Linked DNA regions of Stegostoma tigrinum. The protein of the gene in region 1 binds, or shares a complex with, the protein of each later gene. Links are inferred from orthologs where the notes say so. Each region holds a gene or a part of one and is shown on either strand. Other genes may lie near its edges.

Region 1 (7,273 bases):
CTCATTATCAGATTAATTAAAGTAATTTTTACCATCTTTGATTGCCAAAGCTAGTATTTGCAAATATCACTATTAAAAACCCAACACTGTAAAACAAGTGGGTTATTTGTGCAAACTACAGGATTAAGGAAGATCAAGCAGGCCATATTGACTGTACAGGTCTTCTGTAATGTCATAAGTCTTTGCAACGACCGGCAGTGCTTCCCCCAGTATAGATACCACCTTCTCTGTTGGGCCCATATTCATAACCTCAAAGAAGTTTGCTCGGCTCGGCAGCATATAAAAGGCAACAGTTGCAGCTTTGCGTACTATCCAGGGATGATATTTAGCTAGGGAATCCTGGTATGCCTCTGTACAAAGAACAGAAGTTTTGCTATCATCAGAAGCTACTCGCAGTTTCTCCAGAAACAGCTGTAGCCACCTGAGGGCACGATGGAGCCGCAATAGTGTACGACAGCCAGAATCCCAGTGGTCACCCCGCTTTGTCAGATCCACAAGCTTGTTACCAACTTCATACTTCACCATTGATTGAATCGTCAGATACTGTTGACCATTCGCACCACGTCTGTAGTGTTCCAGAATTTGGATTTTGGTGACAGCGTCATGTGAAATAAAGGAAAAGGCCGATCCCAGACTGTTCATAAACCTAAAGTGTAATAAACAGACATATTTTAGTGTTTAGAACAGAGTTAAAAAGTAAATTACTGGTCTAACAAAAATTAAAAATAAAAATTGAGAAGCAATATTCTTAAAGTAACCACAATACTCCATTGCCAAGTGGGTTACTACTTCCAGAATTCAAATTGTAGCTACTTTTTTGGGAGTTTATCTTGCAAGATGCAGGTGAAAGATCTCAATTTCTACCCCTGATTTTCCACTGATCTGGGAATGGTAGAAACTGTACTTTGTTGATTACAGAGGGAACGACTGCTACATGTTACACCCAGGCTAGAAGCACCCAACAGATTGGGACTGGGCCCAGCAATGTTGTTACCATTGGTTGAGCAGTCTGCTGACATGAACCCTCAGACGCACAGGGGATGTAATGAACAGTGCTATGCATTAAGTGTAATGAGCAAGAATCAATACATTCAGGAGAGGAACACAAAGTTGGCGAGGAATGTTCATGTACATCAGTTGATAAGACACTGATGCCAATGCTACTCTGATATTTGTCAAGTGAAATTCACACATAAGCAGGTCACATGCATATTCCTTACAAATGCAGCTATTAAATGAAATCAAATTTAATGTTCTAGATGTTGTGACCTACTGACAATAAGTTTACCACAATACATGGTATAAAGAATCTTCTAAAGGGCCATATCAGATTCAAAACATTAACTCTGTTCTTGTCTCCACTGATGCTGCCAAACCTGCCAAGTTTCTTGAATGCTTTTTATTTCTCATTTCCAGCATCAGTGATATTTTGCTTTAATAATAAAGTGGAAAGTTGACAGAACACAAAATTTGGGTTTAAAACTTCCAGTTGTGTGTTAGAAAGGCACCTGTTTGAACATATACTCTATTATTGTGGAGAAATGGAAAATGTTACCAATATCTGTTGATCTACAATGTCAGTGAAGTGCAAGCACTGATCATTGAGCATCACAACTCAATTCACTGAAAACTGAAAGTACCATTAAGTAAAACCTCAATTTAAAAGGATTAGGGCATCTCTGAATAGAATTCACTTGTGTTTCTTAGAATGAAATAAAATACAAGTAAAATAGCAGATTTGGGAATGCATTAGAAGTTATTGGCTCAGATATTACCATGGTAACATGAGTGAACCCGACAGCAAGTGCTGCCTTTACTTAATTATACCAAAAGCAACTTCAGGAGTCTGGAAATGCACAAATTCATTTAGAAAAACAGAAGTTATTTCAGTGATGCTATATTTTTTTTTTCCAGAAAGTGCACTGTGAGGACTCACCCCTCGACTGCAGTCGCTGGCAAAACACCAAAGAAGTGACGTGAACTTTTTATTCTGGTCTCATCTCACTCATTGTAAAAATCCCTTGAGAAAAAGTTACACTTTATTGACCAAGATGTGTTTGGATCTTAATGGCAAAATAACAACTACAGAATACTAAAGACTGGTCCTGAAAAGCTAATTTTATGTTTGCAAATTGTCAAATTTCATCTTTACTATCAAGAGTTCTACATATTTAAAATAAAATGTATTTAAATCTAATCATGTATTTTACAACAAGATATTTTAACAGCTTTAGTGACCTTGTTTGCAATTGATAAATCCTTCAAGGCAGTTGTTTGCCTATCCTGCTTATTTACAACATTGCTGCTGCTGCACACCAAGATTTCCTTTGACTTAATGTCTGATACATTAGGAAAGAAGAAACATGCCATGGAGAGTGCTACATCTTTGTAGGCAGCATTCTTTGACATCACCAAATATTCTTGCTATGTTACTCAGCATGAAAGCTAGGCCAATGTTTTGGGAGAAGGATAACAGCCTAAAACCTTAAGTTGTTCTTTTCTGAAGCAAGAGGCACTCTACAATTCCAGATAATGCCAATATTTTTGCTTTTGGTAGGTTGGGAGATAATGGTTTCACATACACAATCTATAAAAGGTTATCATTAATGCAGTATATTGGTCAAGTGAACAATTTACAACAAGGTGATGCTCGCCATACAGCATCGCAAAAAGAAATAGCTCTCATTCTCATTTTCCCCAGATTAATTTTGTGAAAACAGATTTGGCCCCTCACACTAAGTAAATCGATTATACAAAAATCCAAATTAGGAACAGAAGGAGGCTACTCAGCCTTTCTATTTAGTTTCAAAATTCAATAAAATCATGGTTGATCTGTTCATGTTTTGAATGCCACATTCACATCTACTCCCAATAACCTTTGATTTGCTTGCCTAACAATAAAAAAACATTACTTACTATCTCCACCCTAAAAAATACACAAGGACATTGCCGCCATCCCTCTGAGTCAAGGTGTTCCAAGGTTACACAACTCTCAAAGAAAAGAAACCTAAAAAAACTCCTAGTTTTTAAACACTGCTTCAGTATAGTCATTAATTAACACAAGCTAGTTCTGGACTCACCTAGAAGAGAAAATATCTTTTCCATATCCATCCTGTCAAGATCTTATTTATATTTTAATCAACCTGTTTGGACAGGTTATGACAAATCTTTGGGACAAGTAGGACTTGAACCTGAAACCAAAACCATTTGAGCTAGAGTAAGGGACACGATTGCACCACAAGTTTGTGAAAAGAAGGATCTTATATTTCAATCAAGTCACCCATGACTCTTCTAAACACGTGAAAACATGAGCAGTGTGTCCAACCATTCCTCAGAGGAGGATGCACACTTTCCTGGTATCAATCCAGTACACAATTGTAAACTGGGGTGGCACAGTGATTAGAGATAATGGGAACGGCAGATGCTGGAGAATCCAAGATAACAGTGTGGGGCTGGATGAACACACCAGGCCAAGCAACATCTTAGGAGCACAAAAGCTGACATTTCGGGCCTAGACATCAGCTTTTGTGCTCTTAAGATGCTGCTTGGCCTGGTGTGTTCACCCAGCCCCACACTTTATTATCTAGCACTGCTGCCTCACACTGCCAGAGACGGGGCTTGATTCCAGCCTCTATCTGCATTATAGGCATTCAGATTCTAAGCCTCCTCTGAACCATCTCCACCCCACTTACATCCACAATTTTGCAAGATGTGGTCTCATCAATGTGCTAAAAATTTCAAGTATAACATCCTTACTTCTGTTCCTCACAGAATAAAGGATAACATTCCATTAACATCTTAACTAGTTGATGCACCTACATTCTAAGTTTTTTTTGCGATTCGTGCACCAGAATATCAAAACTCCTCTGCACCTCAGAAATACGTTCCACTTAGGTGGCATTCTTCGTTTGTTCTTCCTAAATTAACATCACGTTTTCCCAGATTACATTCCATCTGCCAGATATTTATTGAAAAATTCAACTTCTCCACATCTGTCTGCAGTCTCCATAAGTTCTGTTAGCAATAGAGCGAAAGGATTTTTTTTTGAAAGTCACTCACTTTACCAGTCCTTTCCATCCTTCTAAGTAATGTTCCTGCAGGATTTCTCCGTTGTCAGTCAGACATTCTTTGAAAGACCCCAGGACCTCAGTCAGACTGAACCGATCTGGATGAGCCATTTTAGAAACTGAAGCGAAGGAGTAGGGTGTTTTATTGACCAATCACAGCGCGGCTGTCCCCGGCCGGAAGTCCCACCTCAGCACCAGCCCACCTGGATCGAGCATCTCATTGGCCGTTGCTCTTGTCAGTCGGGTGGGTGTGCTGGGTGTCCTGGAAACGAGGGCCTGCTCGGCCTTGCTGTCGCCCGAGGTAGGCCTGAGGTTAGCGTGTTGTTTCTGCCCGGTTTGTGACAACAGCGTTTAGGGGAAAGGGAAAGGAGTAGGACGGGAATCGCTGTAATTGAGAGGGCTCCTTGTGTATTTAAAAACCCGTCGCCATCATTATGCGACGGGAAAGTGATAATAAATTGAGTTGTATTTTTAAAATTGCAACGTATGAATGTTAACCTGGAGACTTTAAGTGTGATTTTTTTTTGTTTAAATCAGTGAAGGAGGCCGCAACTGGCTTGCTGTCCTGTTCATTGTCACTGTCTGGAATTTTGCTGCTCCTCAGCAAAGCTCACTGTAAACCAGTGTTGTGTACAATCTATTCCATTAAATTTGACAGTTTTTAAAAATAGTTCCCAGTTTTTTTTAATGGGACGTATGTTGCTGAATTCAAATTTTTGAATAATTCAATTTTAAAGGCAGTAGATGACTGAATTGTTAGTGGAGGGCATAGTGGTGAAACAGTTTTTTTTCCAACAGTCTGGCTGCTTCTTTGTTACCTTTAATGTTACCAACAGCAGTTTTTTGTATTTTAATTATCCTTTGCATGCACTTAAAATTTTTCAAGCTCTCTTAGTGGGCTATTGATTCCTGTTCTCTGAATTGTTAGTGCAAGTCTCTGGAATTGTTTTGTCCAGTAATGACTAGTGTATACCTGTTGATTTTATGAAGATCTTCATTAGTAGGTGGACATGTGCATTCAAGAGGCTGTAAGAGTCGATGGGTTTCAGGGCTTTGTACACTCAGACATTGAGTATAAAAACAAAGTTAATTTGTTCAAATCATGGTACAATGATAAGAAATATTCCATTTATGTAGTAACTTTCTCTTTGAAACATACCTCAAGATTCTTCACAGATCATTGTAGCAGGAATAAAATTGTGACCATATGCTCAAAAATTGAATCTTTCTTCACTGAAATAAGGAAACTTAGTTAGAGATTTCACAGAGATTTTTAAAATTCTTAAAAATTTTAAGGCGTAAATAGCGCAGAACTGGCATGACAGGCTGTTGAGGTTAAAACTAACTGTTTAAAGATTAATTGAACAATGTCAAGGCATTTCTTCCCCCAGAAGATAGTGAATGCCTGGAATTCAATATCCCAGAGAGTTGTGTAGCCTAGATCACTGAAAGTATTTGAAGAGAAGGTAAATAGAGTTTTAAAATATCAAGGAGCTGAGAACTCTGAGGAGCAGGTACAAGAGAGGAGCTGAGGATTAGCGCACACCAAGCCATGATTTTATTGAGTAGCAGGATGGGATTGAGGGTACGAATAGCTTACTCCTGTTCCCATTTCTTAGGTTCTTGCTTTCAGTATTTGAAAATGACATTTTATATTAGGATATAGCTGTTGAAAAAAATGGTTGTAAAGTTCTGTCAGTGACTTGGAGGTGAAGTTCACGCCTCTAGACTTTAACACACAGTACATACCACTGTCTCCCTGTTGCACAATGATACTCTCACTTCTTCTCTCATTTCTTACCCTTACATAGGAGAGACCAAACTGCTGGGCCTTGAAATCTCCTGAGATTTTGTTACTGATACAGTCTGCTTTAAATTTATCAGATCCATTTTGCTGAATTTAAGATGACTAACTGATTTCATCAGTACATTCTTGGAACCACAAGTTGCAGTGAAATCTGATTGCAAATGCCAGAAATAAAGGTCACACCTTTAGGTAAGAATTCAAATATTCAGCTGTCTCTAGAATAACAAGGAGCAGCATTATTAGATATGATTGTTAGTAAGAACTTAGAAAACTTGCAGAATGATGAGTCCTTGCTTTTTCAGGGGCTGGCCAGGATGTGGGCCGCAGTTGTATCCTGGTCTCAATTGGTGGGAAAAACGTGATGCTGGATTGTGGAATGCACATGGGATATAATGATGATGTAAGTATATGGAACAATCGAATGGTAGAAAATACAGGAAAACACAGGCTTGTGAAATAAAGAGATATCTGGCCAGTGTTTTACAGTTTGAGTTTACATGGTTCATTTGTCAATTTTTGTGTATCCGTGTTTCCTTCAATGGACGTGGACCCAGTGATTGTTGGTCATTGCTGACTTAGTACAGGTGTTGAAGTGTTCCCAGTTTTCGGTGTCACATATCACTGGAGGTAGAGCCATCACCATAACAGGAGTAGGTTGTAGGTTTATTAACCACTGTAGTTATCACTACAAGCATTGATTGTCACCGTGACCCAGGAAAGGTCCATAGTTTCTGTACTCTTGCTGTTGGGTCTAAATAGTATATGAATAAACCAAATACAACAGGAGTCACAGATAGTAGGAACTGCAGATGCTGGAGAATCTGAGATAACAAGGTGTAGAGCTGGATGAACACAGCAGGCCAAGCAGCATCAGAGGAGCAAGAAGGCTGACGTTTCGGACCTAGACCCTTCTTCAGAAATGGGGAAGGGGAAGGGGGTTCTGAAATAAATAAGGAGAGGGGGGAGGCGGATAGAAGATGGATAGAGGAGAAGATAGGTGGAGAGGAGACAGACAGGTCAAAGAGGCAGGGATGGAGCCAGTAAAGGTGAATGTAGGTGGGGAGGGAGGGAGGGAGGAGATAGGTCAGTCCAGGGAGGATGGACGAGTCAAGGAGGCGGAATGAGGTTAGTAGGTAGGAGATGGGGGTGGGGCTTGAAATGGGAGAGGGGATAGGTTGGAGGCGGGGACGAGCTGGGCTGGTTTAGGGATGGAGTAGGGGGAGGGGAGATCTTGAAGTTTGTGAAGTCCACATTGATACCATTGGGCTGCAGGGTTCTCAAGCAGAATATGAGTTGCTGTTCCTGCAACCTTCACATAGCATTGTTATGGCACTTCAGGAGGCCCAGGATGGACATGTCATCTGAGAAATGGGAGGGGGAGTTGCAACGGTTCGCAACT
Region 2 (7,560 bases), on another chromosome or scaffold:
GGCCCATATCCTGCTAAACCCTTCCTTTCATAAACCCACGCAGATGCCTTTTAAATGTTGTTATTGTATCAGACACACACACACACACACACCACCCTCTGCATGAAAAAATTGCCCCTTAGTTCCCTTTTAAATCTTAACTCTCTCACCTTAAATCTCTAGTTTTGGACTCCCCTACCCTAGGGGAAAAGGCCTTGGCTGTTCACGCTATCCATGCCCCTCATGCTTTTATAAACCTCTAAATGGTCAGCCCCCAACGCTCCAGGGAAAATAGCTCCAGTCTAATCAGCCTCTCCCTATAGCTCAAACCCTCCAAACCTGACAACATCCTTGTAAGTCTTTTCTGAACCCTTTTAAGTTTCACAATATCTCTTGACGAGAATTGAACACAGTATTCTAAAAAAGTGGCCTCACCAATGTCCTATAAAGCCACAACATGGCCTCCCAACTCCGATACTCAATGCACTGACCAATAAAGGCAAACATACCAAACACCTTCTTCACTATCCTGTCTACCTGCAACTCCACTTTCAAGGAACTATGAACCTACACTCCAAGGTCTCTGATTGGCAACACGCCCCAGGACCCTACCATTAAGTGTACAAGTTCTGCCTTGATTTGCCTTCCCAAAATGCAGCACCTCAAATGTATCGAAATTAAACTCCATCTGTCATTCCTCAGCCCATGTGGTCAAAATCCCCTGGTACTCTGTGGTAGCCTTCCTCACTGTGCACTATGCCAGTTTTGGTGTTAACTGCAAACTTACTAACCATACCTCCTACATTCATATCCAAATCATTTACATAAATGCTGAGAAGCAGTTGACCCAGCACCAATCCTTGCTGCACAAAGCTAGTCACAGATCTCCAGTGTGAAAAGCAACCCTCCAGCATCACCCTCTGTCTCCTACCTTCAAGCTAGTTATGTATCCACGTGGCTAGTTCTCCCTATATTCCATGTGATCCGGAACACAGGACCAAAAGTAGGTCATTCAGCCCCTTTAGCCTGTTCCACCATTCGTTAAGACAATGGCTGATCTGCAGTCTACCTCCACATACCTGCCTTTGTCTGATATCCCTGAATACATTACTTAATCAAAATGGTATCTACCTCAGATTTAAAATTAACAATGATCTTGCAGCAGCTCCATTTGTTAAAGGGTTCCAACCTCTACCACCCTTCATGTGGAAGCTCTTGTTAACATCTCTCCTGAACAGTCTGGCCCTAGTTCTAGAATCCCCAATCAGGGGAAATAGTTTCTCTTTATCTACCCCGTTTTTTCCCTGTTGATATCAGGAGGTACAACCAAACACTTGGATCATAATACTCAGGAACAAGATGTCACTCAGGTCCTTGTTATGATCCCAGTTGTTTTTATTACTGGAAAAGTCTGCTCCCAGGCAAAGCTGCATTGATTGATGATAATTTGCTTCTGGTAGATTTTTTTTTATTTTGAACATGATGTTCTCTCTGTGAAGCATAAGCAAATAACGCTTATGTGGTTCTGTGGTTCCACACAATGCTGTAGGTTTGCGTGGAACCACAGAAGTTTACACTGGCCGCTAAAACAGTTCTTTTCCTGTTTCCTACCACAATCAGAAGTAAAAAAATCTCCACATACTGCGAATGCGTGAGACCTGAAATTAAAACAGACTGTGCTGGAGAAACTCAGGTAGTCTGGTAGCATCTGCAGAAAGTGAAATAGAGTTAACATTTTGAGTTAACACTAATTCTTCTTTTAAAAATTCTAATATTTCTTTAGTCTGGACTCTCACCAACGAAAATAAATTTTGCTACATCAAATTTATCAAATCCTTAAGTCACCTTAAACACTTTGATTAATCATCAGTCATCTTCTAAATCAGAGGAATACAAACCTAGTTCCTCTATTCAATTTCTGTAATTTAACTCTTTCAAACCTCAGTGAAGATCAAATGTTTTTGAAAATGGACTGTTATATAAACACACCCAGACAGAGAAAGACACAATCCAACATACTTCTATCCTGAATCCATTCTATAACTCGTGTTGGTTCCTGAAGCTCAAACACATGAAGGTCATTGTACCTAATAGAAACAGACAGAGTATCGTAATGTAATACACTTCAAATAATCACTTCAATCGCAACTTATATTTAATATATAAAACAAACCGCTCCAGAAGAGTAAATAACAGATAAAATGTGACACTGAAATACATATGGAAAAGTGATCAAAATGATCAGTCTAAGACAGAATAAGCATCTAAAACCATCATTTCCTTTCACAACATCATCCCACGATCCTGGTTTAACTCGAGGCAATGCCACTATATAATCTGCTATCTCGACACCACAGAGCGACTTGTGAACATCAGCGGGAGACGGAGGCAGATGACTTGAGGTGCTCCCTCATGCCAGGGACCAGACAGACAGCACAAGACCTTTCAGAACACCCCTATTTCCCTGATACTGTCCATCCCAGTGACCCATTAATCGCACCAACTCAAACATCATTGCAATCACGAAGAAGTTCGAGGGAGGGCCTGGCAGCTCGATGGTATAAAATCTTTCGGCGAGAAGGGAGCAGACGGCGTTGTAAAACTGACCCAGGAATCAGTTACTGCAGTGAGGGAGGATGGGTGGAACCTAAAGACAGAAACTTTAACGTTTCAGGGGGTGTCCTACAGAATCCCAAACGGTCAGGGAGACAAAGCGATCGGTCCAAGAGCAGGTGCCAACCGCCTGGTCCCGGGCACCATCGCACTCACAGTCTCAGAGATTCCAACATCCAAACATCCCACTCGCTCTCCTCCTCCGCCGCCATCTTGGCGTCTCCAAGGCAACTGTCACTTCCGGCGTTGGAATCCCCGCCCACGGCGTTTGCGTCAGTTCCACATCGATTCCCGCCTTCTTCCATGAAGAAAATTCCCATCTAATTATTTTTCGCACGAGAAGGAGCGGAACCTTCTTCAAATTGAAGCCCTCGGCAAAAGAAATGAAACCCATTCGACTTTCGACTGTTTCTGGGACAGCTCGGGAGGGGATATGACATCACAGCAATTCCGAAGCGCCAGTGAACGCTTTATTTATTTATATATTTGTTTAAGGAAAATAACCTTCTCCCGTCAGCCTCCAATGTCTAAAATGATAATTAGATTTTAAATAAACTGTTCAGGCAGGGAAATAACTCGGCGGTTGAGGTGGAAGTTTACACCTTTTGGTTACATCACTTCCTGGTTTGATTTTTTACCAAATTACTTTTATTTATTCCGATACTGGGACTATTCTCACATCAATCACAAACGAATTTCTCGGAGAACTCCTGTATAATTATTTCTCCGTCTCTGAGGGCTTCCCATGCACCTGTGGGCACTGACCAATAAAATCGCTGTTGCTAAGGCGGGTGGGGAAGGCGGGCTGATTTCCTGAAATACGCCTCCCAGCGGCAGCCAGAGCAGGCCTGGTTCCGTGGTGTAATGGTTAGCACTCTGGACTCTGAATCCAGCGATCCGAGTTCAAATCTCGGCGGAACCTGACTTTTACTTTCGCCCCCTATAAACTTCAACGTGTTAGAACATAGAACATTACAGCACAGTACAGGCCCTTCGGCCCTCAATGTTGTGCCGACCTGTCATACCGATCTCAAGCCCATCTAACCTACACTATTCCATGTACGTCCATATGCTTATCCTCATTGTATTTCCAATGCCCAGACCTGAAAACAGGTGCTACTCACCGAAAATAGCCAGATTTGCATTTATATGGCACCTCAGGGCTGGGCCCTGGAGAGCTTGGTTAGACAAGGTCATGCATGGCAGGCTAGCGATGAGGGTTAGGCCTCATGGGATCCAGGGAGAGGTAGCTAAGTGGACTCAAAATTGGAACAAAAACAAAGTTGCTGGAAAAGCTCAGCAGGTCCGGCAACATCTGTGGAGGAGAAAACAGAGTTAACGTTTCGGGTCTGGTGACCCTTCCTCAGACTCAAAATTGGCAGAGGGTGAGGGCTGAAGTTTGTTCCTCAGGCTGGAGGCCTGTGTCTAGTGGTGTGCCCCAGAGGTCAGTGCTGGGACCTTTGTTATTTGTTATTTACATCAATGATCTCGATTTGAATGTACAAGGCATGATGAATAAGTTTGCAGATGTAACAAAATTGGGAGGTATCATTGACAGTGAGGAAGGTTAGCAAAAATTACAGAGGGATCGTGATCAGATAAGGAAGTGTGCTGAGGACTGGAATATATCATTATAAAAACGCTGTAAGACGTGGGAGCAAAAGCAGGCCATTCAGCCCGTTTAGTCTGCTCTGCCATTCAATGAAATCATGGCTGAGCTCAATTCCTTTCCTGCATTTTCCCTATAACTTTCAGTTCCCTTCCTGATTAAAAGTGTGTCTGTCTCAGCCTTCAATATACTGAATGACCCAGCCTCAACAGCTCTCTGCAATAAAGAATCGTACAGACTCACAACCCTCTGAGAAAGGAAATTCCTCTTCACCGCTGTACTAAATGTGAAGCTGTTTATTCTGAGATTATGCCCTCTGGTCCTAGACCCTCCTTTCTGCACCTACCCTGCCAATTCCCCTAAGGATCTTATCTGTTTCACTGAAGTTGTCTGTCATTTTTCTGTATTCCAATGCGTGCAATCTGCTCATCCCCTCCACATAAGAAAGACCTTCCACCCCAACATCGGTCCAGGGAACTTTCTCTGGACTGTCTCCAGTGTCAGTGTATCTTTCCTCAGATAAAGGGCCCAAAACTGTTCACAGTATTCCAACTGTGATCTGACTAGCACCTTGTGCAGTTTTAGCAAAACCACCCTATTTTTATATTTATATTTACGGGGTGTATGAAGAGCTGGAAGATTAGGAGCTGTTTGGACACTTTATGGAGTAAGAAAAAGACTGTTGCTTTTAATTGCTGGACCATTTGTCTTTGGAGGTGACTGTGCTAATGTGCTAATGACTGTCAACATCCCAGGTGGGGTTTGGCTTCAGCTTCAAACATCTCTGGAGAGTCAGAAAGAAAAAGGAAGCAGAGCAGAGAACAGGAAGGCAGGAAGATCTCTCTCCTTCTCTTCCATTCTTTCCCCTGGCTGAAAATTGGGAATGTGACAAAGCTAACATGAGCATCTTTTTGTATCAGAGATAATGGGAACTGCAGATGCTGGAGAATCCAAGATTTTTTGACTACCTTGCAAACCTTGGAAAGCTGATCTATGACAACTAAATGAAGAGCTAGATCCAGCTTCTTTCCCAAACAAAATGAAGCTTTATTTCGACAATCTTCCATTGGTACACAATTATTAAATCAATTTTATTAACAGGAAGCTTGACGGATTGTGAGAATTCATCAATCTCTATTCTTATTGGTTAGTGGAGGCACATTTTCCTTTTGGTTATTTAATAACATTTTCCTGCAGAATCAGTGTTGTCCTGTGTGTGAGTGAGGGCTTGTTTTTGGGATTAGAAGGGACATAGTTCTAATTCTAGATTATAACTTTGATATTATCAATTTACCACTTGTTTTAAATGGTTTGATTTCTAATAAACGATGCTCCATCAGTTCATTAAAGAAACATGGTGATAGGATATTTTAATATGGATAGCAGGACAAAGAGGAGACAATGGCTATTTTAGTGATTGAATTTATACATCTACACTAATAGAGACGTAGAAAATAGGAGCAGGAGTAGGCCGTTTGGCCCTTTCAGCCTATTCTACCATTCAATATGCTCATGGATAATCCTCCATCTCACTGTCACATTCTCACTTTCTCTCCATATGCCTTGATGACAAAAAACTCTAGAAATTCGCCTATCTCTTTCTTGAATATATTCAGTAACTTGACCTCTACAGCTTTCTATTGTGGAGAATTCCACAGGGTCATTCCCCCCGAGTGAAGAAATCATTCCTCATCGCAGTCCTAAATGGTCTGCCCTGTACCCTGAGACTGTGTCCCCTGGGTCTACACTCCCCCATGGAGGGAACACACCCTCCCTGCATCTAGTCTGTCCAGCCCTACTGGCATTTATATGTTTCAATCAGATCCCTCTCTCATCCTTCTAAACTCCAGCAATTACAAGCCCAGTCAAACCAAACAAGTCAATCAAGCAGGATCTGGATCAGATGGGCCAAAGGGCTGAGGAGTGGCAGATGGAGTTTAATTTAGATAAATGTGAGGTGCTGCATTTAGGAAAGGCAAATCAGGGCAGGGCTTATACACTTCATGGTAACTTCCTGGAGAGTGTGGCTGAACAAAGAGACCTTGGAGTGCAGGTTCATAGTTTCTTGAAAGTGGAGTCGCAGGTAGACAGGATAGTGAAGGTGTTTGGTATGTCTGCCTTTATTGGTCAGTGCATTGAGTATAGGGGTTGGGAGGGTCATGTTGTGGCTGTACAGGATATTGGTGAGGCCACTTTTAGAATATCGCATTAAGTTCTCATCTCCCTGCTATAGGAAAAATATTGTTAACTTGAAGGGATGCAGAAAAGATATACAGGGATGTTGCCAAGGTTGGATGCTTTGAGCTACAGGGAGAGGCTGAATAGGCTGGGGCTATTTTCCCCGGAGCATCGGAGATTGAAGGAGTGATTTTATAGAGGTTTATAAAATTATGAGGGGCATGGATAGGGTGAATAGCCAAGGTCTTTTCCCCAGGACCTTTGTTTTGATTTGATTTATTGTAATCGTGTACCTAAGTACAGTGAAAAGTTTTGTTTTGCATGCAGTACAGGCAGATCACAACAAACAAGGACATACAGATCGTGGGGATCTTAGAATGAGGTATACAACATTATCGTTGCACGGGAGGTGCACAAAGCAAGATCAACATTATTTGAAGACAGCAAGAACTGCAGATGTTGGAGTCAGAGATAACACGGTGTGGAGCTGGAGGAACACAGCAGGCCAGGCAGTGTTAGAGGAGCAGGAAAGCCGCTGTTTTGGCTCAGGACCCTTCATCAGGACTGGGAGGAGTAAAGGAGCTGGGAAATAAATAGAGGGAGGGGGTTTGGACTGGGGGAAGGGAGGTGAGATGGCGATAGGTGGGCGTGGTGGGGATTGGTCAGAGGGGCAGAAGGTGGGTAAGAAAATGGGCAGGTTGTGTCAGGTCATGGAGGCGGGAATGAGAGGGAGGGTTGGAAACCGGATGAGGCCGGGGTGTGGGGAGATTTTGAAACTGGTAAATGCTACATTTAGGCCATCGGGCTGTAGGATCCCAGGTGGAATATGAGGTGCTGCTCCTGCAGTTTGTGGATGGTATCATTGTGACACTGGAGGAGGCCCAGGATGGACATGTCACCCAGGGAGGGGGAGTGTGAGGGGGTGAGGGGGTGAGGGGGTGAGGGGGTGTGGGAGCGGGAGGGAGAGGGCGAATGGGAGGGGGAGCGGAGTGGGAGTGGGAGGGATAGTGGGAGTGGGAGGTGGAGTGGGAGATGGTGGGAGTGGGAGTGAGAGTGGGAGGGGGAGGGATAGTGAAAGCAGGATGGGGAGTGAGAGTGGGAGGGAGAGGGCAGGAGAGGGGGAGGGGGAGTAGGAATGGGAGGGCGTGTGGGAAGGGGAGGGCGTGTGGGAGGGGAGGGGT

Evidence for each region. The genes of interacting proteins can lie anywhere in the genome.
Region 2: the proteins of ints11 (region 1) and wdr73 are in contact, whole or in part, in a cryo-EM structure (PDB 8R22), measured with the Homo sapiens proteins. The link is inferred for Stegostoma tigrinum from reciprocal best matches to the Homo sapiens genes INTS11 and WDR73. Residues at the interface, in NP_060341.2 of Homo sapiens: Tyr206, Thr208, Thr209, Ile210, Arg211, Asp212, Ser213, Arg215, Cys216, Arg217, Glu218, Arg219, Asp220, Leu222, Lys223, Lys224, His226, Phe255, Arg258, Met259, Leu364, Val384, Glu385, Tyr386, Ser388, Lys418, Lys419, Glu421, Phe422, Gln425; in NP_116245.2 of Homo sapiens: Asp5, Asp6, Leu8, Val9, Ser11, Leu12, Tyr15, Gln16, Phe18, Tyr19, Ala20, Phe21, Asp22, Leu23, Glu50, Leu52, Arg59, Leu68, Phe69, Pro70, Glu71, Arg72, Asp73, Phe74, Lys75, Val76, Gly79, Phe81, Asp116, Ser117.

Annotation. Positions count from the first base shown.
Region 1 is NC_081381.1:29,356,490-29,363,762, reverse strand, and holds the start of ints11 (integrator complex subunit 11), read left to right. Parts: upstream 1-4,264; 5' UTR 4,265-4,368; exon of another isoform or gene 4,369-4,379; intron 4,380-5,951; 5' UTR 5,952-6,035; coding exon 6,036-6,063; intron 6,064-6,176; coding exon 6,177-6,274; intron 6,275-7,273. Other genes in the region: cptp (ceramide-1-phosphate transfer protein), read right to left, coding at 124-646, 4,060-4,178.
Region 2 is NC_081359.1:111,590,549-111,598,108, forward strand, and holds the start of wdr73 (WD repeat-containing protein 73), read right to left. Parts: upstream 3,007-7,560; 5' UTR 2,913-3,006; coding exon 2,749-2,912; intron 2,067-2,748; coding exon 1,999-2,066; intron 1-1,998. UniProt on the Homo sapiens protein: Component of a multiprotein complex required for the assembly of the RNA endonuclease module of the integrator complex. Associates with INTS9 and INTS11 in the cytoplasm, stabilizing the INTS9-INTS11 heterodimer and blocking the active site of INTS11.